Struthio camelus: one gene and its partners. The protein of the gene in region 2 interacts with the protein of the main gene of each other region in a biochemical or structural test. Links are inferred from orthologs where the notes say so. Each region holds a gene or a part of one and is shown on either strand. Other genes may lie near its edges.

Region 1 (7,526 bases), on a different chromosome or scaffold from region 2:
TACCGAGCTGCAGTGACACTGCCCGACAGAGCCACAACGCAATCCCGAGCCCTCTCACCTCCACAAGGGCCTGCAGGAGACGCTGCGTCAAGGGCCCGAAGGGGCACCCGTCCTCAGGCTGCTCGTGCTGGGCCTCCGACTTCTTCAGCAGGGCATCAACATCTGGGAGGAAGCAGGGAAAACAGTGAGCAGCAGGGGAGAGGCCAACGCCTCAGCGGGACTCCGGTGCAAGGTGAACTGTTCTCTCCTCTGCAGGGACAGCTTTACTCCATTCTGTCTCTGCCACCTGAGCCTCCCTGCAGCTGCGCTCGAGTTGTGCCCTCCCCAGGGCAGCCACCGGAAAGGGAGGAACCCCCAGGGCAGCAGGGCCAGCGTCCCAGGGGCTTGGCTGTGCTCCGTGTAGGTGCCTTGCAGCCCCCTCCAGGCCGTTCACAGAGGGCAGACGCAGGCAGGGATGGAGGCACCTTTAGTGTCCAGCTCAGTCAGCGGTCCCAGGATGCCTTTCTTCTTGTCAGCAGCAGCTGCTGCCCGGGCTCCGTCCTTCTGCTCCTCCAGCAGGTCCTCCTGGGCCCAGCGCTGGGAGTAATGCTTCCCCAGAGGCGGGATCTGCAACCACAGGACAAGCGAGAGCAGCGGTCAGCACAGCGTCCCAGGGCCCTCGTCCGCGCCAGAGCTCAGGCACGAGGAGACGGGCCCTGCCGTGCCACGGAGCAGGCCCTACATCCAAGGACCCAGCCCCGCACACTTCACCTGGCTCGCAGCCAGGCCAGTACCCGGCTGCCCTGGGGCTCTACAACCCTATCCCCAGGGCTGCTCTCCCGCTTTCCCAAGGCCTGGGCCCTCCCCTCCTCTCCCACAGCTCCTGCGCAGAGCAGATGGCAGAATTCGGCACCTCCAGACGCGGCCCTGGAGGCGGCGCAGCTGCCCGTGAGCTCCAGGGCCGAGCTCCTCGGCAGCCGCCCTGCCCCTTTGGCTGGCCCGGCGCCGTTCGGCTTGGCGGTGCCACCGGCCGGCGCAGACCCCAGCGAGTCTTTAAGCTACACAAAGCGGCAACCACAAGCTGCACTCTCACAGGAAGAGCAACCACAACGTTATGAGTGAAATCTAAAACCGTGCTACGGGAAGAGCGTTTTCCTGATCGTGACTCAGCCATCCCCACTGTACAAGAGGCACGGGCCCGTCACACACGCAGCGCTGGCAGGACACGACCAGATCAGGGAGCTGGTACCGCGAGCACCAGCCCTGGTCACAGCGTCTTTGATCAGGCAGGGAGCCCTCACCCAGGGCTCTTCTGTAGCCGAGACCAGAGATGTCATCTCCACGTGTGGAAACTGTGGCTATCCAACAGCACCACACGTGTAACGCAGCAGAGGTGAGAGCAGCCAAGTCTCTCACCCCATCCTGGCTGCTACTTCTCATCTCCACAACTGCCCCCGTTCCCCAGTTCTTCACCCGCTTACAAGCGGGTGACAACAAAAACAACCGTCTGCTGCCGGTCCTCTTCCCTAGAGCGTGTAAAATCCTTCTGCTCGGCTCCCTAGAACAAACAGAGCCCTGCAGCTGGCACAAGGGAAAGGGGGCTTGGGGTCTCTCAGACAAGGGTCCAGAGAGGTCCCTTGTGCTCAAAGTTGGATGTAACAACAGGAACTCTGCATGTAAGAACACCACGAGTCTCACAGGCCGGGACCACGCTGCAGCAGGAACAGACAGACTACAGCTGGGCACTGCCTCCCAAGGACAGGAAAGCGCACAGCAACAACCTCAGCACTGCCCCAGAACGGGGGCAGCAAGTTGCTACCTCGTGGCCGCAGCCAAGACACTCTCTCACGGGAGCCAGAAGAGAAAAGTGTGCAGATAAATTCCTGCTTTTGCAGGAAAAAACTAGTATCATCCCCACAGGGCGAGCGTTCACTGTAAGGCACAAGACTGCATTGACAGGAGACTGGCCCAGGATTAGAAAACAGACAGGAAGAGAGGCTACAAGACTGGGTGGGCTTTAGATCTTTCACCTTGTAATGCTCAGCCTCGTCCTCAGGCGGCTTGAGCAGCTCTTCCAGGACTCTGACTTCCTCGTTGGTGAGGTCGGCGCAGTACGGCTCCACCGAGGCCCAGAACCTGCGAGGACGGAGCAAACGGACAGTAAGGGGGGGCTGCAGAGGCACAGCGTGGGCCGCGGCAAAGGCCGACTCACACCCCCCCTTCCCTCCAGGGCACCTCTTCCCTCGGGTCCAAGCCAGCCCTCTCGCCAGGAGCTGCAAGGAAGGAAACGGATGATCCAAATGTTCCCCATGCACCTGTTTGGAGCATCATTTTTGGGAATCCGGGGAACATCAATGGGATCATCTGGGAACTCGTATTCCTGGATCTTGGGCTGCAGGTTCTTGGATTTGGGCCGACCAGGGCCAGGCCCTGTCCCGTGACCCCCTTTGCCCTCCAGCTTCTGCTTCTTGGGCTTCCCATGTTTGACAGAAGTGCCCACATCATGCTCCTTGCTCAGCTTCAGGAACCGCCGGTCACCCTTCTTGTCTTGCCAGTCTGTCAGGATCTGGAAGAGAGCAACACCATGTCATGCCACACAGCGCAGCCTGGGGACGGGCCCGCTGCCCACACCAACGGCAGCCCAACAGGCCGCCGCAGCCCCTCGGCGTGAACGAACAGGCGAGGGAGCGGGCGGCGGGCCCCAGCGGCCCTCGCCGCGCGGGGCAGGCGGCGGCGCCCGCACCTGCGTCTCGGCCTCCAGGACGCGGAGGCGGCGGCTGGCAGAGGAGAGCAGCGTCTCCAGCTCCAGCTGCAGCGTGTCCAGCTCCTCGATGCCGATGCCGTCGTCCTCGGAGCGGGCCAGCACGGCCGTGTAGCGCGGGCACACCTTCACGTGGTCCACCGACTTGAAGTCGTGGAACTGCAGCGGGCAGTCCTTCAGCTCGCTCATGGCGGCGGGCACCGGGGGGAGCACACGGGTGTGTTCGGGGGAACGGGGCGGGGGGCAGAAGGATCGGGGCACTGAGGGGAAGCGGGGGGGGGGTGGAGAGAACCGGGGTGCTGAGGGGAACCGGCGGAGGGGGGGGGTTGGGACCGGGGCGCTGAGGGGGCGGGGCCGGGACGCAGGGAAGCCCCGGGGGGGGGGTCGGGGAGGTCCCGGGGGCGCCGGGGCCGCCCGGAAGGCGCCGGCGGGGCAGCGCGTGCCGCGGCCGGGCGGGGGGGCGGCGGCGCCGCGGGGCGGGGGCGGCCGGGAGGGCCGCGGGGGGCCGGGCCTAGGCCGCTCGTCCCTTCCGGCCTCCGTAGGCCAACGCCGCGCCCGCCTTGCCCCGCCCCACACTTCCCATTGGCTGAGCCGCGCCCAGCACCCGTCGCCTATTGGCCCGGCCCACGCTCTTTTTGCCTTCCCTAATATGGATGCAGTGACGGGACTATACCAACGCGGCGGGCGGGCGGGGGGGGATGAGCGGGCCGCCGCCATCGCGCACCGCCATCGCGAGCCGCCGTGCCCGCCGCCGTCACTTTCCTCTGCGCGGTGAGGCGAGGCCAGCTCGGTGCGGCCCGCGCCCTTCGGCGCGCGGCGGGAGCCTCCCCCGACCCCCCCTCCCGCTGCAGTGGGAGCTCCCGGCCATCCCGGAAGAGAGGAGCCGCCGGGGACAGCTACTTCCGCCTGCCGGGACCGGACCGGAGCCGCCACCATGGTAGGGGGGGGGGTGGCGGGGGCTGTGTGGCTGGGCCCGGGGGCGGATGGAGGGACCTGGCGGGGGGGTTGGCGGGGCCTAGGCCGGCAGCGGACCGGGGGGCGTTGATGGGGGTGGACTGGGGGCGGGCGGGGGGGCCGGGGGTGAGGGGTCCTGAGGGGGGCGGCTGGGGCGAGCTGGGGGTTTAGGGGGGCGGCAGGCCCGAGTCGGGGGTGGGGGGGTCCTGAGGGGGGCGGCTGGGGCGAGCTGGGGGTTTGGGGGGGGGGCGGAAGGCCCCAGCCTGGGGTGGGGTGGGGGGGCTGAGGAGGGCAGCTGGGGCGGGCTGGGGTTTTAGGCGGGTGGGGGGGGCCTGAGAAGGATGACTGGGGGTTTGGGGGGGCGGCAGTCCCGAGCTGGGGGTGGGGGGGCCCGAGCCGGGGTGGGGGGCAGTGGGCCGCACCGTTTGCCAGCTCTGACGCCGTGTCCCCGCAGACCGCCACGCTGCGCCCGTACCTGAACGCGGTGCGCGCCACGCTGCAGGCCGCCCTGTGCCTGGAGAACTTCTCCTCGCAGGTCGTGGAGCGCCACAACAAGCCCGAGGTGGAAGTCAGGTACGGCCAGGGGGCGGCTGTGCCTGCGGGGCCCCCGCTCCGCTCGGGCCCTCCGCCATCCTTTCGTTGGAGGCAGCTGCCCCCGGGCTGCTGCTCTGCCTCTGGCTGGTTTCCGGGGCCAGCGTGTCCCTGTGGAGCTGTTGTGCTGCGACGCTGCCAGCTCAGCTTTAGCAGCACGGGGAAAACGGTCTCTGCTCTGGTTTTAGTGCACTGAGTCCAGCACTGTTCCTGAGCCTAGCTGAGTCCTGGTTTTGGACACTGGGAACTGAGTCCTGGTTTTGGACACTGGGAACTGAGTCCTGGTTTTGGACACTGGGATGGGTTAATTCTTGTTGGGGTTTTTACACCAAAAAACAATCCCATCTAGTCACTGCTGCCTTTGCTTAGCATGTCTGGGCCTGACGCGAGGGGACTGTGCAGGCTGGAGAGGCCTCTGCACTCAGCAGCTGCCACCAGGCAGCGATGGGGCTGGTCAGCCCGGGAGCTGAGAAACTGCAAAGAGGAGGGAGGATCTGCCTTCATGATGCGTGTGCCTGGGAGGTGGAAAGCATCGTGTTGGAGCACAAAACAAACTCCCAAGTGTCCGTATTGGCTGTGATCCCTGCAGCTCCCTGCTTGCATGCCCTGTGTGGCCAGCAAGTGCTCGTTAATCAGTGCTGAGCTTCTCTTGCATCCACAGAAGCAGCAAAGAGCTGCTGTTGCAGCCAGTGATCATCAGCAGGAACGAGAAGGAAAAGGTCCTTATAGAGGGATCCATTAACTCTGTGCGAGTCAGCATTGCAGTGAAACAGGTGAGCTGGTGGGAGGGGAGGGAACAGGCTGGTGGCTTGTGTGTTGCTTGGAGGAAGCCTCACTTCTGCTTTCTCTCTGCAGGCTGATGAGATCGAGAAGATCTTGTGCCATAAATTCATGCGTTTTATGATGATGAGGGCTGAGAACTTCTTCATCCTGCGCAGGAAGCCTGTGGAGGTGAGGTGACCCGTGGAGCTGCAGAGCAGCATCCTGCTGTGCTTTTGGCACTGCTGGGGAGAGGGGGGTCTCCGGAGCCGAAAGAGGACGTGTGCTCACGGGGTTGGTGCGCTAACTGTTTCTGCCACTTCTCTCTTCTCCAGGGCTACGACATCAGCTTTTTGATCACAAACTTCCACACAGAGCAGATGTACAAGCACAAGCTCGTGGACTTTGTGATCCATTTCATGGAGGAGATCGACAAGGAGATCAGTGAGATGAAGCTGTCTGTCAACGCCAGGGCTCGCATCGTGGCAGAGGAGTTCCTCAAGAACGTGAGGCTCTAAAGCGGGAGGCGATGGTTCCCGTGTCTCTGGACGAGGGTGCAGCTCCGGCCTGCCGTGACCCTCGCGCGCGGAAGCCTGGCCCCGGGCTGTCCCCGTCTGTGGCGCAGGTGGCGGCAGCCCCCTGGGAAGGTGCCCTTTGGGGCAGGGGAATCACGTGGGGAGCGGGTGGGGGTACCTGGAAGAGCTACTGCCCGCTTTGCTCCCTCCTCAGTGAGAGAGGAGCGCAGCGTGACGCGCCAGCTTTGCAAGGCTGCCAGCGGGCTGGCGCTTTGCTAGGGCGCGAGCGGCAGCTGCGGGACGCGGACTGCTGAGACGAGCTGCGCGGTCCCCAGGGCGAGGGGAGGCAGGGAAGTGAGCGCAGAGCTCCACAATCCAAGCAGTGCCGAACGGCAGTTATCGTTCGTCTCCGTCCCTGCTGATCAGCCAGACGTGGCTTGAGGCCGCCTCGGCGCAGCGCGGATGGCACGCTGGGCGCGGGAGGGGAGGGCGAGCGCGCGAGGAGCCGGCAGTCAGCGGCCCTGTGCCTTCCCTTCTTGCCTTGCAGTTCTGAACCGTGGTGCTGAGCTCCCTGGCTTCTCCGGCGTCCCCGCGGGGCCGGCCGCAGCCCGGCCTCGCCGCCTGCGGAAGAGAGGAGAAGCCGCCAGATGCTACGGAGCCGTCCGCGGGGACGGGCGAGAGGACCGGGTGTCCTGAAGCGAACCGTGCTCGTGTCAGACCGTGCCGACTCCCTGCTCTTCGTTCCTCCTTTGGTTTTTTCCCTCCCCTCCCTTCCCCCTTTGTTTTTCTTTTTTTTAACAATTCCTCGTTTGCTGTAACTCGGCTGCTCGCTTCCCTCCTGCCTGGCGGTGGGGGACACCGTTTCCCCCCCCCTCCCCGCGCCGGTTCTTGAGCGGGGGGGCGGGGCCTGGCGGCGCAGGGGGCGGGGCCTGGCGGCGCTGCCATGGCAACGCCAAACAGCGGGGGCGGCCCCGACGGTGCGGGCCGGGCCGGGGCACAGCGGGGTCCGGGGGGGGCGGTATTTAGGGGGGCTGTGGGGGACGATGGGGGATGAAGGGGGGTCGGGGGGGGGCATGAGGAGGTCTGGGGGGGCTGTGTTGGTGCGGAGGGCTGGGGGGTAGGATGGTGTCGGTGGTGGGGGCACGAGAGGGGCTGGGGGGGCACGAGGGGGGCTGCAGGGGCCGCACGCGTTGCGCTGCAAGCTCCGGAGCGCGGGGCGGAGGAGCCGTGCGGGCGCCTGGGCCTGGGGCCTCTCCAGGCTGCCGGCACCGTCCTGCCACGGCTGCGCCAGCCCCGGGGCGGCAGCGAGCACCCTGTCTTCTCCCCCCGGGGCGTCCGACGGAGGCAGCGCCGCTAGCGGCTTCTCCGTGCCCCCAGGCCGCCGCGGGACGCGCCATGGCTCGGGGGCCGGCAGGCCGCCGGCGGCCGCGGGGCGAGCAGCCCTCGGGGTGAGGGGCGGCGGGCTGCGCCTGCAGGGCTGCAGCCCCACTGCGGGCACGCCGCCGGCCCCCTCGGAGCCCCCCGGTCCCGGCGGGCGAGGAGGGCAGCTCCAGGGTCGCGCCGCTGGGCCGAGGTGCCGCCATGCGGATGGAGCGGGCGGCGGAGAAAGGGGCTCTGCCTCCCCCCTTCCCGGAGGGGCTGCCCGCCCCCACGGCCGCCCGGCGGCGGCGGCAGGACGGTAGGAGCCTCTCCCTCCCCGGCGGCCCGGCCCGGCGGCGAGGTGGGGGCTGCCGAGCCGGGGCTCTTCTCCCCCAGGGCGCGCGGCGATGGAGGGTGGCGGCGGCGGCCGCCCCTCGCTCAACCCGGAGCGCCTCAAGCGGGTCCGGCTGCGCGTGGAGAGGGCCATCGAGGTGAGGGCTGCCGCCGGCCCCCCGGTCCCTGCGGCGCGGGGCAGCGCGCTCAGCTCCACCGCCGTCCCTCACCAGCAAAAGAAGATCTTCATGCTGCAAGGCCCCTACCCCGTGATC
Region 2 (7,584 bases):
CGAGCACACACACGTGCACACGCGCACACGCAGCCGGCGCGGCACCCGAGGCACCAAGCACACACACGTGCACGCACGCACACGCAGCCGGCGCGGCACCCGAGGCACCGAGCACACGCACGTGCACGCGCGCACACGCAGCCGGCGTTGCACCCGAGGCACCGAGCACACGCACGTGCACGCGCGCACACGCAGCCGGCGTTGCACCCGAGGCACCGAGCACACCCACATGCACGTGCGCACATGCAGCCGGCGCGGCACCAAATGCACCGAGCACACGCACGTGCACGTGCGCACACGCAGCCGGCGCGTCACCAAATGCACCGAGCACACGCACGTGCACGCGCGCACACGCAGCCGGCGCGGCACCCGAGGCACCGAGCACACGCACGTGCACGCGCGCACACGCAGCCAGTGCTGTACTGAACACACTGAGCACGCTCACACACGTGCACACACATGCACACCCAGCCAGTGCCGCACCGAATGCGCCGAGCACGCTCGCACACGTGCACACGCCTGAACGCACAGCCGGCGCTGCCCCGGAGGCAGGGCACGCGCACAGGCGCGTGGAGACACCGGCAGCGCCGGCTGCGCGCGCATGGACGCGGGCACCCGCGCAGCCAGCTCTGCACACAACGCGGGGTTCGCGCGCTCACAAGCGGCGCTGGGCAGGCTCGCGCGCCCCGCACCGGCTGCGACGCGCCCCGCCACGCATGCGAGCGCCAACGCAGCCCGCAGGCACGCGGGACCGCCAGCCCGGAGGGGGCACCCGCCCCCACCGCCGCAGCCGGTGCAGCACGCCTGGGCCCCTTCGTGCCCGGCGCGGGGCTGCAGCCGGGCGCCCGTCCCCACCCCGCGCCAGGGAACCGCAGCGCTCGGGCCGGCGGGGGCTCCCCGGCCCGCGGTGCCCAGGACGGGCCGGGCTCCGGCCCCCCGGTGCCCCCCAGCAGGAGCGCGGGGCAGGCGGAGGGGGGCGCGCGGGGCCCGCGGGGAGCGAGACGGCCGCCCCGGCTTCCCAGGGGGCCGGATACGGCGCCGGCAGCCCAAACGCCTTGGAACGTTCCCGGCGGCTCCGGATGCGCCGCCGGCCCGGCCCGGCCCGGCCGGGGCGCCGCCGCCGCGCAGCTGCAGCACATCTGGCGAGGGCGGGCCGGCAGCCGCGCTGGGACGGGAGGTGCGCGGCGCGGCGAGGAGGGGGCCGCCCGCGCGGGGCTCCTCCGCGCTCTCCCAGCCCCGGCCCCGGGGTCGGCGGCCCTTCCCCGGACGCCTGGGCTCCCTCCCAGCTCGGACGCTGACCCCGCAGCACTTCCCTTCCGCGGGGACGTCGCTCCCGGGCCAGCGCCGCACCGAGGGGGACGCCGGCCCCTGCCCGGCGTGCCGGGGCCGAGCGCGAGGGCTCTGCGCGGCCCCCCAGATCCTGCAGCTCCCCCGGGACCCTGCGGACTCCCGGAACAGCATCCCGCGGGACCCCGGCCCATCCGGACACGCGGCATCCCGGGACTCTGCATTTCCCCAGACGCGGCATCCCCCAGACACGGCCTTCCCCGAAATCCCGCTGCACCCCACAGGTGACACCCCCCGCCCTGCCCGCAGTAAGGCCAAAGGGAAACTGAGGCACGAGGCACCGTGCCAGCAGGGAGCCGAGGCGTCCGGGCGCTGGGGCACCTCCAGGCCTGCCCGACACCCCGGCGATGCCCCCCACACCGTCCCCAGTGCCGGGGAGCGGGGGGGGGGGGGTGAGCGCACCCCCCCCGTTCCCACAATGCCGTGCAACGGGAATGGCCCCCGAGCAAGCGCGGGGGAGGGGCCCCACCCACCGCCACCCAGTGGCTGAACTGGTCCCACTAGGTCCCAGTGCCGTCGGGGCGGCTCCGGCGGGGGACAGCGCCCCAGGCCGGCCCTGCCCAGGCCTGCACCGGCCCCCCCGGGCAGGGGCCGGGCCCCGCCGCACCCCGACCCACGGGGGCCTCCCCGGCGGCGCGCGCCCCGGGGCGCCCGGGAAGGGGGCTGCCCCCCGCCCCGGCACCCCACGGCACCCTGGGGTGGGGGGGCACAGGCGCGCGGGGCAGTGCCGCCGCCAAGCCCGCTTCCCTCCCCGCCGGCGGCGCTGCCGGCCGGCCGCCCCCTCCGGAGCCAGCGCCGGGGAAACTGAGGCAGGCGGCGGGCCGAGGGCTGCGAGGGGGGATCCAGGCGCGGCCCCCTCCCCGGCTCCAGCCGCTCCCGCGCCGCGGCCGGTCCCCGGCCCCCGTGATGGACGAGCCTGTCAGGGGCAAATTGAATCAGGAGCAGACGCGATGATTGCGGTTATCGCTTCCCCCGCAGGCGGCCGGGGCCGGGGCCGCCGCCGCACCGGGGGGGGGGGGGCGAACAAAGAGCCGGGGCCGCTTCCCGCGCCGTTAGCAGCCGGGGTACAAACACCGCCCTTAACGAACGGGGCCAGGCTGCGGCGATCAACCCCCCCGGTGGCCACCACCGTGCCTCAGTTTCCCCACGGATGGGGGGGGGGGGGAAGGGTCCCGGCGGCTCCCCAGCGCTCGCCCCCGCGCCGGGGCAGGACCGCGGCGGACCCGGGGCCCTTCGTGCCGCGAGGGGTTTGCTTATCCTTTCGGCCCTTTTGTTTCCTGTTATTGCAGCTATTTATAAAGCTCAGGGCGGGCGAAGCGGCGGGGGGGGGGACGCCCCCCGGCCCGGCGGCCCCCGGCGCGGGGCAGGGCGGGGGGGAAGCGGTGGCCGGCCGGGTCCCCGCGGGCGTCCCGGAGCGCGGCGGTACTCACTGGCGGGCGAGGGCGTGCTGTATCCGCTGACGGGCAGCTGGTGCGGGATGCCGGCCAGGGTGCTGGGCGGCGAGAGCCCCCCGATCATGTGGGGGAAGAAGAAGGCGTAGTGGGGCACGGGGTAGCCGTTGAGGTGCCCCCCTGCGGGCGTGGGGCAGGAGCTGCTGTTGCTGGCCATGGCGGGCGGCTCCGGCGCGGCGGCGGCCTCACGTGCGGGGCGCCGCGGCCCGGCAGGGCATGGGGCCGCCGGCCGGCCCGGCGCGCTCACCACGGCCTCACCGCTGCCCGCCGGCGGTCCGCGGCGCGTCCGGGGGCCGAGGAGGCGGCAGCGGCTCCGGCGACGGCTGCGGAGGGAGCAGAGAGAGGCGTTAGCGGCGGCGGCGGGGCTGGGGCGCCCGGCTCCCCCCCCCCACACCCCGACCCCGCTCCCGCCCGCCGCGGCCGTGCCTCAGTTTCCCCAGGCGCCGGGAGGAGGCAGCCGTGCGGGGCCGGCCCCGCGCTGCCCGCCGGGTTAACGACGCCGAGAGCCGGGGCGGCAGGTCTCTAATGCCCGGCTTAGCGGGCCGGGGCGGCGGAGGGGCACCCCCGGGGCAGGGTCCCCGCGCGCCCCCGGCCCCGGGGCGCCGCGAGGGAGCCGCCGCGCTCCGGCGTCCACCGAGGACAGCGGCTTCGCTCCGGCCCAGCTCCCCGAGGACGCGGGGGCAGCGGCTCACGCGCTGCCCGGCCACACGTGCACCGAGCGCGAGGGGGCTCAGCCTCGTGCCTGGCCGCGGCCCCGGGGGCCGGGGCTCACCCAGCCCCTCTCCCCACCGCCCCGCCGGCTCTGCCCAGCCTCGAGCCACCCGGCCCAGCGCAGGGGCCGGCGCTCGCCCCGCGCCGCGCTGCCGGCGGCGGCTCCCGCGCCGGGCACGGACCCCGCGCCAAGCCGGGCCGCCGGCGAGGGCGGGGGGCCGCCGGTGGGAAGGGGGGCACGGGGCTTTCACAATCCCGGGCTGGCTGTTTATTTAAGCGCTGGCGCGAGGCCCGGCGGGGGATGTTTATTTGCCGAGAGCGCTGGCTCCCGGCCCCGCGGAGGCGGAAAAGGATCCAGAGGAACAAGGCTGGGCCGCCCGGCGAGGCGCTGGGGAGGGGCCGGGACGGGCACGGCCCTGCCCGCTCCTCGCCTGCCCCCCGGGGCCGGGCCGGGGTGCTCCCGGCCACCCCGGGCAGGGTGCACCCGCCGGCAGGGCGCCCCGCGCTCCTCCCGGCCCCGGCGGTGCCCGGCGCCCGCGCTCCGGCTGCCCGCCGGCGTGGGTGCCCAGGGCAGGCGATGCCGGGGTCCCGTCCGCAGCCCCGCGTGGGTCACCCTGCCGCGGGGCACGGGACACCCCCTGCCCTGGGGTGCCGCCGCGCCGGGCCTGCGCCGGCCCCTGGGTGCAGCCCCCCCCCGGCGAGCCCAGCCTGGCGCCGCCGGGAGGAGACGGCCTTCGCGCGGGGCCGTGCCCCTGGGCAGCACCCGTGGGTTCCCCGGGGGCGGCGCAGCAGCCACGAGACCCCCCCCCCCCGCCACCCTGCACCCCGGCAGCGCCCGGCGCGGGGCCTGCCCGCGGGCCCCCCCGGAGCCGGGCCGGCCGGGGGGAGCGGAGGGGAGCGAGGCGCGGGAAGAACTGTTTATGTTCGCCGGTGCCAAGTGCTTGCCAGGCACGGCGCCAGGCTCCGGCGGGGCCCAATTACTCAACCCTGCTCACGCCCCCCCAGCGCACCGCGGGCCTGGGAGAGAACAGCGCCAGCGCCGCCTGCCAGGGGCGGCCCGACCGCCGCGAGCCCCCTCACCCAGAGGGGACGGGGGCAGGCGGCTGCAGGACCGTCCCGGCCTCTGCGCGCCGCCGCGGGCGGCCAGGAGGGCTCCCGAGACCCGACGCAGCCCTGCTCCGCGGCCCCAAAGAGGGTCCCCATCCGTGCGCTGGCCGAGGCAGAGCCTGCTTAGCTTCGGGCAGGGGCTGGCCCCCCAGCTCGGCCCCAGCCCGGCCACGCTGCACCCCAAAAGCAGCCGCAGCTCCTTTGCGGCGTGCTCAGACCCTCCCGGTGCCCGGCCGGCCGCGGGGCCGCGGCACGGGGCTGGCCACGAGGTCCTGCGTCGTCTCCTCTCACCGGCACGCCGTGCCAGCGAGGGGGCACAGGCCCTCCGGCTCGCTGCTGCTGCCCACCACCAGAGGCGAGGGAAGAGCCCGGCTGATCCCCCTGGACCACCGCGCTCCGCTCCCCACGCTCAGGGCTCCAGGCAGCAGTCCCGGAGGGACCCCGCTCCAGGCAAGCCCTGGGGGGGCAGCGGGAAGGTGGGGATGGGGCCGCACAGCCGGCGGCGGGGAGCCCCGCGCGGTGAAGAGCCCCCTCGCCCTCCCCAGCCCGGCCGGGCAGGCGCCTTTTCCTCCAGTTCCCCGGCAGGAGCTGGCCGGGAATCGGTACTTCCTGGAATCCAGAGCCTCATTCCAGCCCCGCAGAAAACAAGGCCATGGAGCTCGGGCCAAATCCCAGCCACGAGGAACCTCCCGACCAGGCTGGGGGCGGCCCCAGGGAGCGGACGGACGCACGGACAGACGATTCCCATGCCCAGGGTCTGCCGGCAGCCCCCGCGCAGCGGGGCAGGACACATTGCTGGGGTCCCCCAGCCCCTCGAGCCAAAAAGGCCCAAGACCAGGGCACAAAGCCCACCCCACTGCCCGCGCTCGCGGGGCAGGGTCGCATCCAGCTCCCCCGCGCCCGGCACGGCCAGCGCTGACTGCCGAGCAGGAGGGCTTGCAGCGGGGCAACGCACCGCGATTCGCGTCTCCAGCAGCCATCCCCAGCACCACCTGCCAGCCCTGGGAAGGGACACGCGGCATCCCCATCCTGCCCCATGGGGACCACGGAAATGCAGGGGGGACCGTCCAGGCCAGGAGGGGCTGGCAGGGAGGGTGCAGAGCTGGCCCAGCCTCAGCCAGCACCCCAAAACCCCCAGGCGCGCCGCCCGTCTCATGCCACCCAACCCAGGCGTGCTTCCTGCCGGGGCCGCGCGGCGATGCCAGCACCAGTGCCCCGGATGTGACACGCCAGGGAGCAGGGCCGGGGTGCCACCCGGCGCCGCGGGCACCGCCCTGCCCGGCTAGCACCGCGGGGGCCACCGGGGCCAGGGTAATGGCAAATCCAGGCTGCGCTCTTGGTGCCTATCGGGACAGCGGGCAAACCCAGTGACCGAGCCCTTCCTGTCATGCCTGCGACCGCAGCGCTCCCGGCCGCAGCTTCCCCTCGCCGCTCTCGATTCCCGGGGCCGCCGGGTTTCGGTTCAGCTCTGGCCCCACGCCACCTTGGACCCCAGCCGGGGCTGCCCCGGCCCCGCTCCCCGCGCCGGGCACCCCGCGGCCCCCGGCCTCGCCAGGACGGTCACGGGGGCACCCCGAGCCGCAGCCGGGGCCCGCGCCGCGGTGCTGGGGGACGGGGCACCGGTGCGGCGGCTGCGCCAGCAAGGGGGGCGGGGGGGGGGGGGCTCTGGGCACCCTCGCCGCCTCCCCCACGGGCATGGCAGGAAGCGCCCGCGGATCCGCTATGCGGTCACAGCCTGCGGTTTCCTCACTGCTGTCAGCAAAGCGGCCGGGGCGGCCTCACACGCGAGGCCGACGGCCCCGGCCACCCCGGTGCCTCCCCAGCCGGGCAGCCCCGGGGCCGCCGCGGCTCCGCCAGGAGGGGCGCAGCGAGGTGCCCCCCGGGAAGGGCCGGCGGCGAGACCCCCTCCCTGTATTCCCAGAGCATCCCGGCCTCTGAGTCAGCGTCACGTTTCTCACGTCCCCGGGCAGGCGTGAATCATGCCCCAGCCGAGCGGATGTTGCTGGGCCGGAGCCGGCTGCACACGCTCCAGCACGGGCAGCGCGTGCCGCAGCCAGGGCTGCCCCGGCCCCGCCAGGGCGCAAAGCCACCCCGGCCAGCGCGCTGGGGGGCAGCTCCGGCCCACGCAGGAGTCTCCAGCACCCCAAAGCCCCAGCACCCCATGGGCCAGCGGGGACCCCCATCCCCGGCAGCGCCCCCCAGCCAGACCCGCTTGGGCAGCCTCCGCTTCCCCTTGCATAGACAAACCCGGGGCCGGACCGGCACACGACCGGGGAGGGCCCCGGTGCTGGCTGCGAGCCCTGCGCTGCCCCATGGGGACGACGTCCTGCTCCACATCGTCCCCGAGCACGGCGGTCCCTTGCCCACCCCACACCAAGCGGCGTGCCACCCTGCTTCCCCATCCCCGCCGGGGCGCAGACAGGCGCTCCGGGGAGCTGCCGCCGGCCCCCACGGCACGGGGCCCCCGGCACCCCCCATGTGCCGCTGCCGGGGCTGGAGCTGCAAAATGAAATTCCACCTGTCGCAGCTCAGCCTGCCCGGCTCCGGTTACGGCCAGGAACGCGCCGCTCCGGTTACACCTCCTACACCCGCCACCAGACGCGCCATTCTTCTCTGGCAACAGGTGCCCCGGCCCCCGCCGCGGCCCCCGGGACAGGCACGGCCCCAGCTGAGCCGCAGTGGCCCCCGGCCAGCGCCACAGGCACCGCTCCAGCCTGGCGCGACCGGCACGGCTCTGGCCTGGGTGCTGGGCTCCCAGCTCTCTCCGGAGCCCTGGAAGGGGGCAGCTGGAGCAGGGTTGCACCCCAAAAGGCTCCAGCAACTCTTGGAAGTCAACCCTATCTGCCAGCCCCTTGCACTGCAAGCCTGGGAGCCCCCACCTCCGTACCCCACCGTGGGCACAGGGCTCCCAGCCTCCGCAGCACAACGGAGGGAGCACCCATCCCAGCCACCTGACCCCAATCCAACA
Region 3 (6,900 bases), on a different chromosome or scaffold from region 2:
CGAAGCCAGAGCAATTACCCCGTGGTCAATAATGCCACCAGAACTGTGCAAAGCCGCACGTATGAGATCTAAGTTCTGCTCCACGAGACAATATAGATAAAATCTGAGAACAGAAATTAAAGCGGAGCAAACTTTCAGATAGAGGTTTCAGGCACTGGCTTACGTATATCCCAGGAACTTCAGTGAGGAATTAGCACTTCTCCAAAGTAGCTCAGAACAGCCAGGCCTCATGTAGTTTTGGAACCAACCACCAATCATTTACGGCTTTGCTTTTAAAAAGGAAAGCAGGATTTATTTACACAACTTGAGTCCAGCGTCTCCTAGGATACAGAAATCAAGACATGCATCTCCCAGCCTCTGTTCCCAACTGCAGGACAATCCACAGTGAGCAAAGCTATTCAAATCGCCCAAGTGTAACAGTGTGCGCGCACTGCATTTCCCTCAACATGTTACATCACTCCCTCATTCTACACCAGGAAGGCTTCTGAAATGGCACCACATAAAACATACTGCCTTTCCCACCACCCTCTCCTCTTTTCACATCTTTGATATCAAAGGATGAGCAGGATGGGGGAGAATAAATTCTTCAATTTTTGTTGCGGTTATTACGGTGTCAGAGGCAAGTTAAGAGACTCTTTTGTATTCATCACCTTTTCAGAGGACCACAGAGCATTTTAACAGACACCAGCCAAGGACGCTAACACTTTTCTTCTACAGATAGCACAATAAGACACGGATTTGCAAGAACAGTAGCCTGGACCTCCAACAGCATCTGTCAGTGCTAATCTCCGAAATTCTACTAAAACATAATGCTGCTTAGGTTTTCATTCCCTAGGAGTACAGAGTCCCCAGGAAATCTGGAAGATTTGCTCACTAGTCCAAGGAAAACAGCAGTAGGCGTCATCCTATTCTTACTTTGAAACCATCCACCTTCCCATCCCTTCGCTGCTTTAGTTCTTCCATTTTACAGACTAGACAGAGTATCTTATACGCAGCACTGGCAATCATCTTTGCTAACATTCAACATGGCAGCAGTTCCTGCTTTGCTGTCTGGAGAGTTCCAGTAATCCAGAAAGTTCTTTCAGAAGGCATGTATTCCAGCATTTTTCCTCAATCCTACACCACGATCCAAACTGACTATATGAGCTACAAGTATCTGACCCCCCAGTTAATATCAGCTTCCTTGTAAGACCTGATGTTATCACCTACAGTTTTAAAGCCAGGAGGGCAGGTGAGGGGCATATAGTAAACACACAGCCTCTAGACAACAGAGTCACAAAGTAGTCAGCATTCTGAAAGAAAAGGTAACTGTTGATATACTGGTAAGCACAAGCAAGAAACCTTCAGAAAGTCTCGCTAACTGATGTTTCAATGCTCTGGTCCTTATTTCACTACAAAGAAACTAGTTAGTTTTACAATTCTTGTGCTGGGTCAGGAATACCTGCTGGATATCAAAGACATTCAGTTCTCTCAGGCCAACAAGGTAGCCTCGATCCTCGGGCTTGCTCTCTGGCGTGTTCAGTCCGTACAAATACTGCAGCACAGAGACAAAGGGGCAGCAGCATGTGCAGGGATGTGGACTTTGTAATTTTTCTGAGATGAACAAACAAGGTAACCTGGGGTTATCAACACTGCAGTGTCTGTCACCGTTAAGTCAGAGCGTCTGGCAGATTTGCTTTTCAAACAGGCCTTTGGCCAGAGCGTGGCAAAAACTTGCACCATTGGTATCATTTGAACAAGCCATCATGCCTCACCTCAGATAGGGGTAGCTTATTATTACCTTGTTTCAGAGGTGTATTTCACCAACATCACAGACTGCTGGTTCCCAGGTGTATTGGGAGGAATGCTTTGAGTTATTCAGGAAGGGAAGTCTTAGCATGGCACAGAGAGTATGTAAGTTAGAATGACTTTTTTTTTTTTTTTTAAATACCTTTTCTGCTACTCCATCTTCGCCACCAGTGAAGAAATCAGTTTTCCGCCTCAGGAAACTAAAGAATGTGTTCACAAGCTGTTTGAGGAAACAGAGGGTAGGGGTTGGGGTAAAGAGGAAAAAAAAAAGAGCAATGAGACCAGATCACTCCCAGTCATCCCCTGTCTCCTCAGTAGTCTTTGTTCTTCTTTTTACTTCCTGCCTATGTCTGTGTTAGGATCATATTAGAGTCAAACCCATTACCGTTTCCCAGCAAAAAAACTGAGGACTTTTGTGGAGATCCAGCTTACGGATTCCCAATTTTCAGAAGATGCATTTTTGTGTTTTACATGAAGAAAGGGGAAGCAGTTCATTCTCAGGCCATCTTCCCTTGGAGATGCATCAACTTTGAAATCCCAAGCTGTTACTTAGACCCATCTGACGCTGGAACTTCTTTTTTAATTAAATATACACATACATGTATATAGATACACGTGTATACTATAAATTCACTTCTTTGGTTGTCTAAGCCCTCAGAGCTTGCAAACCCACCTTCCCCAGCTCTGTGACTTGTTTACTTTTACAAAAGACTAACACGTTTGCTACCCACTAACAGCCTAGAAGCAACGGATGGTGGTCTGCGCCCTGCAAGACATGCGACAAGACAGAACTGCCTGTCAGGTGTCCCTGATGAAGTAGAAGTTGTGAACTGACATACTAGAATACACCTGCAAGAAATAATCTCAATGAGTATGGTTTCTCTTTCTTCTTTTCCAGGAATAATGTCTTTGTCAGTATTTCAATCAGAAGCTTCAGTCCAGTAGGAAGAGCTGTTATTAACATCATTTCCCCAGACCACCTGTGGGTGGGGGATGTTCCCCAGAACTGTAGTAATCTAGCTGCATGTCATCACCTAGACCCTCTGAGCAGCCTCCAGCAAGAGTCACATCAGAAAATGTGAGTGCAAAGAGTATCAGTAATGCAGCTACAGTGAGGGAAGGGAAACTGTATTCATGCTTAGGCATACTTCTGCCTATTTTATGACTGCAGCCAACACATCAGGTCTCACAAGGCAGCTCTCAGACGGTCATGCTGAGAGTGTGACAGCTCGACTTGATCCTCCCCATGCAGTGTCTAGTTTCGCTGCAATACGGAGAGGGATCTGCCTTTCCACACGCCTCTAACGCCTCTAGCAAGCCAACGGTGTTAACTTGAACGAGTGCGAACGACCCACCCATAAAACGCCCCAGCTGCTCAGGGGCGACGAGACGGCCGCGGGAGGCGGCAGGAAGCCGAGGGGCATGGCCGGGGCCCCCCAGGCCCTCATCAGCACGGCGCTAATTAGCCCTTCCTCCGCGCCTCCTGGGCTCCAGGTCCCCCCGGGGGCGCCGAGAGCAGGAACCCCCAACGACGGGGCGCTGGGACACACGTGCCCACCGGGGAGGGCCCGGGGCTCCCGGAGACCCTCGTCCCAGGGAGGCCGGGCCGCGGCTGCCTCCGCCCCCTGCCTCGGGGCCCGCCCCTCCCCCACTCACTCCGCCCCCCGCCCCGGGAACACGTAAAAGCTCCCGCCACGGCCCGGGCTCGGGTCCAGGCCCGGCGGTGCTACCTCGCGCACGCCGCCCTGGTGCTGCTGGGCCATGGCCAGGAGCATGCCGTCGAAGCGGTCCTCCTGCTCCGCCGCCTCCTCCGCGCTCAGCCCCATGGTGATGGTGGTGGTAGGGCCCGCCGCCGCCAACGGCCCCCTCAGCCCCTCACGCCGGCGACCGGAAGCGGAAGCGACGCGAGCGGAAGGCGGTGCGCGAGGGCCCGCGCCGCCCGCCAATCCTGAGCGCCCGGCCGCCCCGCTCTCTTCGCGGATTGGCCTTTGCGGCGTCCAATGTGCCGCGGGGAGGCGGGACCGGCGGGGCGCGGGGTTTGGTTGCTATAGCGACGGCCGGTCTGGGCCTTTCCAGAAAGCTCGGCGAGGCCGCGTGTCCCCGGGGGGGGGGTAGGGGTCAAAGGGCAGAGGGCACGTCACGGGAGGGGGGGCTACCTCCCCGAGGTCAAAGGGCAGAGGTCACGGCCGGGGGGGGGGCCAGCTGCTGGGATCCACCCCCCCCCCCGCGGCCTCGCCCTGAGGGGGCTCCAGCCTTGGGTCTGAACCCGCCTGGTTTTGGCGTGACTGCTGCGGGCAGGCAGCCGCGCTGCCGCTCGGCTCTGTCCCGGCGCTGGTTCCGCCAGGGCTGCGAGGAAACGTCCCAGCGCTTTCTTGACCGGGGCGCGGAGGCTTAAAATTCAGCCGGTGTGAAGGGAGGTGACGGAAAGCAGCCTTGTGGAGCGCTGCCGTTGAGCTGCAAAGAAGCCGGCCCGGTCGCCCTCGGGGATCTGCTTATCTGCAGGGACCGAAGGATCCACCTTCTCTTGTGTTCGCTGCTCTCTTCCGTGCACGGCCCCTGCCTGCCTCTTGGCTCTTTTAGGTCTTCCTGCAACTCTTCCCACGCCCCCCTACGTAGGATTTCCCTTCCATTTACAGCACCGGTCTTGTAGCCAGCCTTTCTTCGGGATGAGGTGCCTTAACCCTAAGGAGGGTGAGGTCTTCTGACTCACTGGCTCCTTCCTGCTATAGAAATTCCTCACTTTGTTGCTGGACCCCTTGAAATAAGTAACCAGGTGCGGCCAGACTTTTCTAGACCAACTTCTGTTCATCAAGTGATAAAACCATCTGGCAATTCAAGGCAAAAATGTAAGAACCTGACCCTGCCCTGCCTCGTATTTCCTTTGTGACACAAGATCCTTTGGGCCCTGCCTCAGATTGAATACTATAATCTTTTTAGTTCACTGGGTTTCTCGTCCTTAACTGTGACAACATGAGTCCCTTGTCAACAAGGTTGGGCAAACATCTGCTGATAAAACGACTTCCAGGTTGCTCTTCCCAAGGCCGGAGCATGCAGGCCGTTTGCACCAGGGTCCTCGCTCCAGACGAGTGCCGTGTGTGTGTGTGTGTGTGTGAACTTCTTGGCAGTGACACCTGCCGTATAGTGCTGCCTGATTACACGGCGGGGCCTTGGTGCCATGGTACAGGCTGGGTTAATGACTTTGTTTAAACTGTTTGGGTAATCGTGATAAGGCCGCCCAACCTGCTGTCCTGTCCCCGCGCTGCTGGCCCCGCTGGCACTTCATTGAGAAAACGGCCATTGACGCCATGTGGAGAACTCGTTTGTTCCAGCCAATCAGTCCAGGGATGGCTGTTTTTTTTTTTTTTAATGAGGACCGCTTAATCACAGAGCGGTCAAGGCTATGAAGGGGTGTTTCACTTGTGACTGAGCCTTATAAGAAGAGCTGGTTAAAACAGCTATGGGCTGGCAGAGCTGGGAGGAGAGACTGTGCCCGGGGAGCTTTGATTGCCGCAGGGGGTTGTGACAGTGCCCTTCTGCTTTACGGATCTCCCTCCTCTGCTGCAGCAGGAGCTGAATTTTGCTGAGGATCCAGGCACCCAGCTCGGCTATGACAACCAGCAGCATGGACGTGGACTGCAAGAGGTGCCAGTGCCACAGCGAGGACAACCGCACCGCCATCCTCTACACCCTCCTCAGCCAGAACTTGAACCACAGCCGGGTCAGCTGCAGTCCAGCCCACCAGCGCTGCCTGTGCCACCAGCGCCGGACCGTCTGCCTCCGCACGCCCCACGTCACCTGCCAGGCGGCCTCCAATGTGCTGGTGAAAACCGTCAGCTTCATGAAAAACCTGCCTTCCTTCCAACTGCTGCCCCGAGAGGACCAGCTCTTGCTGCTGGACAGCTGCTGGGTCCCCCTCTTCCTCCTGGGGCTGGTCCAGGAGATGGTGACATTTGAGGTGATGGAGACCCCAGCCCCCAGCATGCTCAAGAAGATCCTTCTCGATGGCCAAAGCAAACAGCAGGAGCCCGAGCGGATGCAACCCACGCTGGCCGCGGTGCAGCGGCTGCAGTGCTGCCTGAACACCTTTTGGAGACTGGATCTGAGCCCAAAGGAGTATGCCTACCTGAAGGGCGCCATTCTCTTTAATCCTGGTGAGTGTCGAAGCCTCACAGCCCTATCTGCTGGTGGGGAGAGAAGGCCCCGCAAGCATGAGCATCTAGAAACACATTTCGTGGCTTGGACTGATTCAGAGCACGGGCAGGAGGAGCTGTGCACGGGAGAGGAGAAGAGGGCTGGTTATCTTATCATGGATACCTAGTATTACATAATGCCGTTTACTGTTGGGAAGTGGGGAGGACAGATGTTGAATGTAGTGCTAAAATCCAGGGACCTTGCCTAGCCTGCAGACAGTAAGGACCCCAGGACTTATTTTGCCAAGCATGGGTTTACCCTGTTAACTATTTTTGCTCCCTCAAAGCAAAGCTGCTACTCAGCAGCCCCAAAGTGGCTACGTCTTAGTAGTGCTGCGTCCATTTAATTAATGTGGCACTCGGAGTCCCTTCAGAGGTAGTTGAAGGGATGGGAATAGTAGAAACTGGAGCTGCTGTGCAGCCTCCTTCTTCACTGGCTTTTTCCTCCTTTCTCTCCATAGATGTCCCGGGGCTGAGGGCCTCCCTGTACATTGAGAGCCTCCAGCGGGAAGCCCAGAGAGCGCTGCAAGAAGTCCTGCGGCCCCTGCACCCCGAGGACCAGGGTCGCTTTGCCCGCATCTTGCTGATTGCCTCCACCTTGAAATCTATCCCTCCTGCACTCATCACAGACCTCTTCTTCAGGCCAGTCATCGGCAATGCAGATATTGTCGAGCTCATCACAGAAATGCTGTATGAAATAACCAGCAGGCAGCTGGCTCCTTCGTCGCGCATGGCGCTCTGAGGGACTGCGCTCGGCTGTCAACCCCACAGACGTCGCCTGCTCCCCGAGTCAAGTGTCAGAGGGCGGCAAAGTGAATCTGGGAGCAAGGTTTAGTGAGGCAGGTGCTCTGTACTTTGCAGGGAACTGGCTTTGTGTGTGTTTCGTTAAGCCTGGGGAACAGCTCCAGAGGCTGTAATTTTC
Region 4 (7,057 bases), on a different chromosome or scaffold from region 2:
TGTTGGCTAAGCCCACACCCTGGATGGGGACAGCCTGCTGCAGCAGGTTTGGCATGGCGATGAGGTTACCCGTCCCGGCTCGGCTAGTAATGATCTGCTGGTTCGTGCCGGGGATGATCTGCAGCTGGCCAGAGGCATCCTGCTGCACATTGACTTGGGCAGGGGTGGTGGCAAACTGGAGCTGCTGCCCATCAATGGTCTGGAACTGGGGAATGACCTGGTACTGGATATTTGGGATAACACCTGGCAGGCCCGTCAGCACCTGCTGGTTCTGCAGATTGGAGGCGGCCGTGACCACGTATTGCCCCGCGCTCACGGGCCGGCTTTTTGATGAGTCGCTGCCATTGCTGCCGTTGGCGCCCTGCTCCTTGGAAGGAGTCGGTGTGCTGGAGCCAGTGGATATGATCTGCCAACCGTTGGCGGATTGGGCAATCTGAGCAGCAGCGGCCGTGAGGTCCAGCTCGCCGCTCCCGCCTTGCTGGCCCTGGGAACTGTTGGAGTTCTCGTTGGGAGACTCGATCCTGCTGCAGGTGGCTGCCAGCAGAGCCAGCGGGGAAGGCTGGGACTCCTGGGAAGGAGAGGAGGAGTTAAGGACACAGGAGGCGGCCCAGTGGGCAGGCCGAAAAAAAAAGAGAAGCCAGGGAGGAGCGTACTTGGAAAAGATAAACACTCCTTCCTGAGAAAACCCACCCACAGCCGGAAAAATACAACTGCCAGACACAGGGCTGTCAGGCCGGGACAAACTGAACCCACAGTGAAAAACCCTCCGGTGGGGAGGAAAGGGGAGGGAGTTTGCATGTAAAACCCAAAGAGACACATTTCTTCCACTCCAAAGCGAGTGAATCTCCTTGTAGCACTACAGGAGAACAACTCCTACAGCTGTTTCTGGGCACCCAGATCAGGGAAAGGGCTGGTCAGGGCCGTGGCAGCTACTTGGAACCAGGGTGTACAGCCTATTTTCAAGAGCACCATGCACAACTCGGGGAGGAGGGGAAACATGCTCTGGGCTGGCACTCCCTGCTGAACACGTTCCAACAGGGTGTTTGGCAGCGCGACGCTCCCCCGTCACTCACTCGCCCTCTCTTCCTTTCCCTGGGAAGAGGAGCCTGTGCAGCGCTTGGCTGGGCCAAACAAACACCTCAGCGCAGCTCCCCGCCCCGGCCCTGGACTTTGCTACGAGGTCGGCAAGTCCCCAGGGTGAGCGGAGCCAGGAAGCTGCCAGGTTCGGGCTGTTCCTTGCACCGCCTCTTTCCCTGCACTCACCTGGCCCTCCCCACCACCTCCGCTGCTATTACTGCTGGCATCTCCTTCGCCCTTCTCGGGCTTCACTGCAGCCATTTCCTCGGGACTCTCTTGGTCTGTGTGGGCCGGAAACAACAGTCGGAGTTAAAATACATTTCTGGGCAGAGGGATTGGGGGGGGGGGGAAGAGGAACACAAGGACTTGAGAGGAGTTATGGGGCTGGAAAAGCAGGGGATTGGGGCAGGGAGAGGTGAAGGCACTCTGGTAGGCACTTTTGGGAGGACCGAGTGCTGCTCCGGCACCAGCGAGAAGGGGCTGGGAAGCAGAGGGAGCTGCCAAAGGGGAGTTGGCACGGAGACAGGCGGAGGAGGGACAGGCCGCGCTCCAGGCCTCAGCTCCTCCCTGCCTGCTCGGGACACTCCCTGGCCCCTCGGTTCTCCTCGGGCCTCCCCTTTCCCTTTCTCCGCTAGCCTGGGAGCACACCTCCCGCTCAGGCCCTCCTTGGCTGGCCCCGGCACCCCGCGGATCCACCCCCTGAGGCTTTCTCCTTGCCCTGCCCAGGGGTTTCCCCTGGCAGATCCAGCCCACTGGCTTCCCCAGGGATCCCCGTCTGGAGAGGCCCCATCCAGGCTAGGATTCCCCATCTGCGCTCCCCGTGATCCCACTGCCCGGTGTCTCTGTTCCCCCTCAAATCCGTATCCTCCTGGATCCCCCCCCAGCCCCTCACAATCCTCCACGAAACCTTCCTTCCCTGGCAAAACCCCTGACCCCCAAAGAACTGGGGCCTGTGCCCCCTACTCCTGCCCCTCGAGCACCCCTTGCCAGGCCCCCTGCAGACCTCCCTCCAGGTCCCCCCAGGTCATTCGTAGGGCCTTCCTCCCCTCTCCGACAGCTCCTTCCCCCAAAACGCTCTAATTCGGCTTCTCCCCTCGCCCCGTGGGCCTTCTCCCCACGGCTCTCCCCCACCCCATGGATCCCCCCCTAGCCCACGGTCCCCTCCCCACAGCTCTCCCTCACCCCTCGGCGGGCTCCTTCCCCCCACCCCACATGCATCCGCCTGCCTAAGGCTCCCCCCTCACCCGGGGATACCCCTTCATCGGTGTGTTCCCCTCTCCCTGCTCCACCCCCGGCATCTCCCCGCATAAACACCCCCTCCCCGGTGCTTCCCCCCCCCCCCCCGCCCGGGCCCACGCCTCCAACCGGGGCGCGCCCAGGCCCGGCTCCCCCCCACCCCGTGACCCTCTCCTCACACCGGGCCCTCCCCGCGCCTTCCCCCCCCCCCCCCACCGCGCCGGCCGCGGCGGCGGCGGCCCCCCCCTCCCGCGGCGGCGGGGCGGAGGGAGGGCACGGCTGAACGGCCGCCGGCCCCCGCCCGGCCTCCCTCGCCGCGGGTCCCTCCCCCGAGGCCTTCCCCCCTCCCCCGGGTCCCTCCCCCGGCAGGTCCCCCCGGCGCGGCGCGGCGGGGCCCGGCCCGGCGCGGCCCGGCCCGGCGCGGGGCGGGGCCGCCGCTGGCCCCTCCGAGCGGGCGGGCGTGTGTGTGTGTGTGGTGTGTCCGCGCGCCCCTCGCCCCCCCCCCCCCGCCGGCGCGGTGGGCCCGTCCTTACCGCTCATGGTGGCCGGGGGGGGGGGCGAGCCCAAGCGGCGGCGGGGCGGGGGGGAGGAGGGGCGGGCGCGCCCGGCTCGCTGACGAGGCGGCCTAACCCCGCCGGTGACCGCCAAGGGGCTGCCGAGGGAGGGAGCCGCGCGCCGCGGCCCCGGCCCCGCGGCCCGCCCCCCGCCGCGGGGCCCGCCAATGGGGCGCCGCCGCGGGCGGGCGAGTGGCGGGCGGCTCGGCCAATGGGGCGCGAGGGCGGGCCGGCGGCGGGGGGAGGGGGGGCCGCGCCGCACCGCCCCCGCGACCCCGCCCCGTGGGGGAAGGGGGGCGCCGCGGGCGGCGGCCAATGGGGGCGCGGGAGGGCGCTGGCGGCCGGGGGAGGGGAAGGGGGGGGCTGGCGTGAGGGCCGGCCAATCAGCGCCGGCGCGGGCTCCCAGGGAGACCCCGTATGGGAGCGGCCAAGGCGGCGTGAACCGCGGCGGGATGGGCGCGTGCCACGGCCAATGGGCGGCGGTCCCGCGCGGGAGGCGGGGCGGAGGCATGACTGGCGTGAGGACCCGCCAACTGGCCTCCGGGCAGCCGCGCTGCCCGCGCGGCTGGAGAAGGCGGGCTCGGAAATTGACGGCTGACTGTCCAATCCGAGGCCGGATGGGTCGGCAGGAACGGGGCTGCTCGCCAATGAGAACGGCGATCCGTCTCAAACTGACCAATGGGCGCCGGGTGGGGGCGGGGCGAACGGCCGGGCTGCGCCCTTGGAGGGACGGCTTGGCGGCGCTGGGAATGTGGCGGAAAAGGCGCCATTTTGGCTCTGGCTCCGCCCCGACCCCAGCCGCCGCCTTGTCCCGAGCGGGGAGCGCAGGGGCCCGAGCTGCCGCCTCCGGGGCGGCCAGGCTGGCCGGGGCCGTGTCGCGACAGTGCCACCGTTCCCTCTAGTCCCATCCTCCTCCCGTCACAACGCCGCACGCGAACCCTCCTCGCAGCGTGTCGGGGGAGGGGGGGGCTGTCATGGCGGCAGGCCCTCGACTCCCTGTTGCGACGTGGCCTGTCACGGCAGCGCCTCAGCCGGGTGCCGTCCCCACAGCCCCGTTGTGACAGGCCGTCACTGTCGCGGTGCCTCATCCTCTCCCTTCCACGGGTGCCAGCTGCCCTGTGGCAGCACCGTGTTAGGGGGCCAAAAGGTGCTTTGAGGGGTGGTGGTGGGGGGGTGTCATTTTTTCCACAAAAGCCCCCAGATTGTGCCAGGTTTATAAAAAGGGAGAGAGAGCCACGGGGCGAGCGGTGACAGGGCCCAGCTCGGGGTCCCGCAAGGAGTAACTGCCCCGAAACGAGGCGGTTTTCCTCCCGGCCGGGTCCTCGAAGGGCCGGGACGTTCCTGGCCCTCGCGCAGAGGCCGCGGGGAAGCGGCGCGCGGAGTCGCCGTCCGGCCTCCGCCTCCCGCCGCCCGGCCCCTCGCATCCCGCCTGGCTCGGCCCCCCGCTTCCCTTTGATGCGCCCCGCCGGCGAGGCGGGACGCCGGGGCTGGCGGCGGCGTGAGCGGGGCGTCCTGCCGCCATCCCGGCGGGACGGAGCGCCGCTTCCCCGCTCCCCGCGCGCTGCCCGTGTTGGTTTTGGAGGCTCCGCTCCGATCGAGGAGTCAGAGGTCGCAGTTTCGGGCAAATCCTTTGCGCGGTGCCCCTGCTGTCCTTCCAAATGCTGTGTTAAGTGACCTGGTTTTTTTTTTTGGTTTTGTTTTGTTTTGGTTTTTTTTGCATCGTTCCCCTCTTTCAGCAGCTGGAAAATTCTGCCGTCGCTAACCATGACCTCACCCCGCTTCCAGCGGAACTGTTTTATTTTTGCTTTCCCCCTCCCGGCACTCGGCCCGCGGCAGCCTGCCCCCCCCGCCAGCAGATTGCAAGCCCCTGAGTAATTAAAATAACACCGAGGGGTTTTTTTTGTTTTTTTCGAGAAGAAACGGACGGAGCGCAGCGAAACAAAACAAACCCATGCCCTCCCTGGGCTCGGCGTCGGTGGAACATCTTCCGGCCCTAATCCCGGCTCCGGCATCTCTCATGTAACAAATCCGCCGGCCTTTTCCCCCAAAACCCTGGCAGCGGAGAGCAATACGGAGCTGGGCGGAAGTCGGACCCGCGGGCAGCCGAGGACAGGAGCATTGGCCCGGCTGTGGCGGCGTTCGGTTGCTTTGGGAAGGCCGAGCAGGGTTGGAAACGCTAAACGGCTTCGTCTTCCCTGTAAAAAAGCCCCAGCTGAAAGCGAAAGAGCAGCCGAAATCGCGGGAGCGTTGGCAGCCTGCTTTTTCCAACCCGCTTCCCCTCCCTTTGCCTCCCAGCCGGCGCGCCGGCCCGCATGGCTGCCGACCGACCCCAGCCCTCGCCCGGCCAGCTCGGGAGACGCCGGGACGTTTCGGAGAGGTTTTCGGAGGGGTGCTAGCGCGTCCCGGGGGGCGTCTGATTCCCGGGAGCCGGGCTGCCGCCGTGAGCCCGTTAACTCCACATCTCCGCGGAAAGGGAGGATGTGGTCGGAGCAGAGCGGCCGGGATGGCCCAGCTCGCCCGTGCCTCGGTTTCCCCCCGCGAGCCGGGCGAAGCCGTGGCTCCCTACGCTGGCCAAGGGTCTTTCAAACCCCGTCAGCCCTTTTTGTCCCCCTCGCCTCGGGCCGATTCGGCCGCAAAGCCCCCAGCGTGGGACCTGCCCCCCTTTCCCCCCCCCCCTGCTCGGGGGGGCTGTCCCTGCGGTGCGCACCTCCGGAGCCGGGCGGTCGCTTTGGTGTCGTCGTCCCCCCCCCCCCAATCCCTTGCCGGCAGGGAAGAGGCCGGAGTTTCACCGCAAATCCCGCTGCGGCCTTGGAAGTCGCCGCCGCAGCTGCCGCGGGGCCGGGGAGGAGGCCGGGCCGCCCCCCCCCTCAACTCCCCCCCCCCCCCGCCAGCGCCGAGCAAACACGGCTTTTCCTTTCATCCGGGCCCGCGTCCCGCGGACTGCGGCGTCAGCAGCTCGTGGGCCAGCAGCTGGGACCGGCGGGGGCCCGCGGCCGCCCCCCCGTCCCCCCCCAGCCCCTGCAGCGGTGGCACCGGGACAGGCCGGGTTGGGGGCTGCGCCGAGCTGCTTGGTTGGGGGGGGGGGAGACACGTGGGGACGCTGAGCGGCGGACGCCGGAGAGCTTAGCGGGGCCCGGCCCTGTGCCTCAGTTTCCCCATCGGCACGGCACTGGCTGGTGGGTACCGGGGAGGTGACATGGCTCCTTTTTCCCCAGCCTTTCCGGAGCAGAATACCACCCCCCCCCGGCTGGAATCGCCATCCATCCTCGTTTCTCAGCCCCCCCCCTCCAAAATCAGGTTCCAAATCCCTGCTTGCTCCCGTCGCTTGCTCCCCCCGGGTGGGCCGGGAGAGGGCCCGGCCCCGCGGCCGACAGAGCTTTGGGGCTTTATCTCCTCCCCGCGCGGCCCGGCTGGGGGCCGCCGGCCCCCGGAGCTGAGTCCTGGCCAGCTCGGCACGCGCCGCTCTTTGTGCTGGACGTCGGGGCGAAGGCCCTCCCCCTTAGCACCCCTTTGCTGCCCATTAAGCCCCCCCCATCACGCCTCGTTAGGAACCCCTTCCCCATTAGCAGCCCAGGACCCCCATTCCCTTGCGCTCCCCCTCTTGCCCTCACTGTTCCCCATTCCCCCATTGTTCCCCATTCCCCCATTGTTCCCCACCAGCCCCACTGTTCCCCATTCCACCCATTCCCCCCGTGTTCCCCAATCCCCTATTCTTCCCCATTCCCCCCATTATCCCTAGTGTTCCCTATTACCTCCATTCCCCCTTTGCTCCCCATTCCCCCCATTGTTCCCCATTCCCCCCAGTGTTCCCCATTCCCCCATTGTCCCCCATTCCCAACATTCCCTTCATTGTTCCCCATTGGCCCCACTGTTCCCCGTTCCCCCATTGCTTCCTGTTCCTCCATTGTTCCCCATTACCCCATTCTTCCTAGTATTCCCCATTACTCTCATTACCCCTACTGTTCCCCATTCCCCCAGTGTTCTCCCAGTGTTCCCCATTCCCCCCAGTGTTCCCCCATTTCCCCCCAGTGTTCCCCCAGTGTTTCCCCTTTTCCCCCCAGTGTTCCCCATTCCCCCCAGTGTTCCCACATTCCCCCCAGTGTTCTCCCAGTGTTCCCTGTTCCCCCAGTGTTCCCCCATTTCCCCCTAGTGTTCCCCATTCCCCTGTTCCCCCGTTGTTCCCCATTCCC

Evidence for each region.
Region 1: the proteins of RARA (region 2) and TADA3 form a complex in vitro, tested with the Homo sapiens proteins (2 studies listed by BioGRID). The link is inferred for Struthio camelus from reciprocal best matches to the Homo sapiens genes RARA and TADA3.
Region 3: the proteins of RARA (region 2) and NR0B2 form a complex in vitro, tested with the Homo sapiens proteins (2 studies listed by BioGRID). The link is inferred for Struthio camelus from reciprocal best matches to the Homo sapiens genes RARA and NR0B2.
Region 4: the proteins of RARA (region 2) and SP1 form a complex in vitro, tested with the Homo sapiens proteins (2 studies listed by BioGRID). The link is inferred for Struthio camelus from reciprocal best matches to the Homo sapiens genes RARA and SP1.

Annotation. Positions count from the first base shown.
Region 1 is NC_090955.1:9,933,956-9,941,481, forward strand, and holds the start of TADA3 (transcriptional adapter 3), read right to left. Parts: upstream 3,013-7,526; 5' UTR 2,930-3,012; coding exon 2,723-2,929; intron 2,546-2,722; coding exon 2,295-2,545; intron 2,116-2,294; coding exon 2,010-2,115; intron 607-2,009; coding exon 465-606; intron 163-464; coding exon 59-162; intron 1-58. Other genes in the region: ARPC4 (actin-related protein 2/3 complex subunit 4), read left to right, coding at 3,675-3,677, 4,149-4,267, 4,947-5,058, 5,141-5,236, 5,380-5,550, 6,107-6,112; tubulin monoglycylase TTLL3, read left to right, coding at 7,326-7,409, 7,485-7,526. UniProt on the Homo sapiens protein: Functions as a component of the PCAF complex. The PCAF complex is capable of efficiently acetylating histones in a nucleosomal context. The PCAF complex could be considered as the human version of the yeast SAGA complex.
Region 2 is NC_090966.1:6,907,296-6,914,879, reverse strand, and holds the start of RARA (retinoic acid receptor alpha), read right to left. Parts: upstream 3,011-7,584; 5' UTR 2,956-3,010; coding exon 2,778-2,955; intron 1-2,777. UniProt on the Homo sapiens protein: Receptor for retinoic acid. Retinoic acid receptors bind as heterodimers to their target response elements in response to their ligands, all-trans or 9-cis retinoic acid, and regulate gene expression in various biological processes.
Region 3 is NC_090964.1:6,806,015-6,812,914, forward strand, and holds the start of NR0B2 (nuclear receptor subfamily 0 group B member 2), read left to right. Parts: upstream 1-3,884; 5' UTR 3,885-5,395; coding exon 5,396-5,939; intron 5,940-6,439; coding exon 6,440-6,720; 3' UTR 6,721-6,900. Other genes in the region: nuclear migration protein nudC, read right to left, coding at 1,931-2,008, 3,519-3,614. UniProt on the Homo sapiens protein: Transcriptional regulator that acts as a negative regulator of receptor-dependent signaling pathways. Specifically inhibits transactivation of the nuclear receptor with which it interacts.
Region 4 is NC_090969.1:3,370,646-3,377,702, forward strand, and holds the start of SP1 (transcription factor Sp1), read right to left. Parts: upstream 3,012-7,057; 5' UTR 2,854-3,011; coding exon 2,847-2,853; intron 2,374-2,846; exon of another isoform or gene 2,322-2,373; intron 1,359-2,321; coding exon 1,264-1,358; intron 569-1,263; coding exon 1-568. UniProt on the Homo sapiens protein: Transcription factor that can activate or repress transcription in response to physiological and pathological stimuli.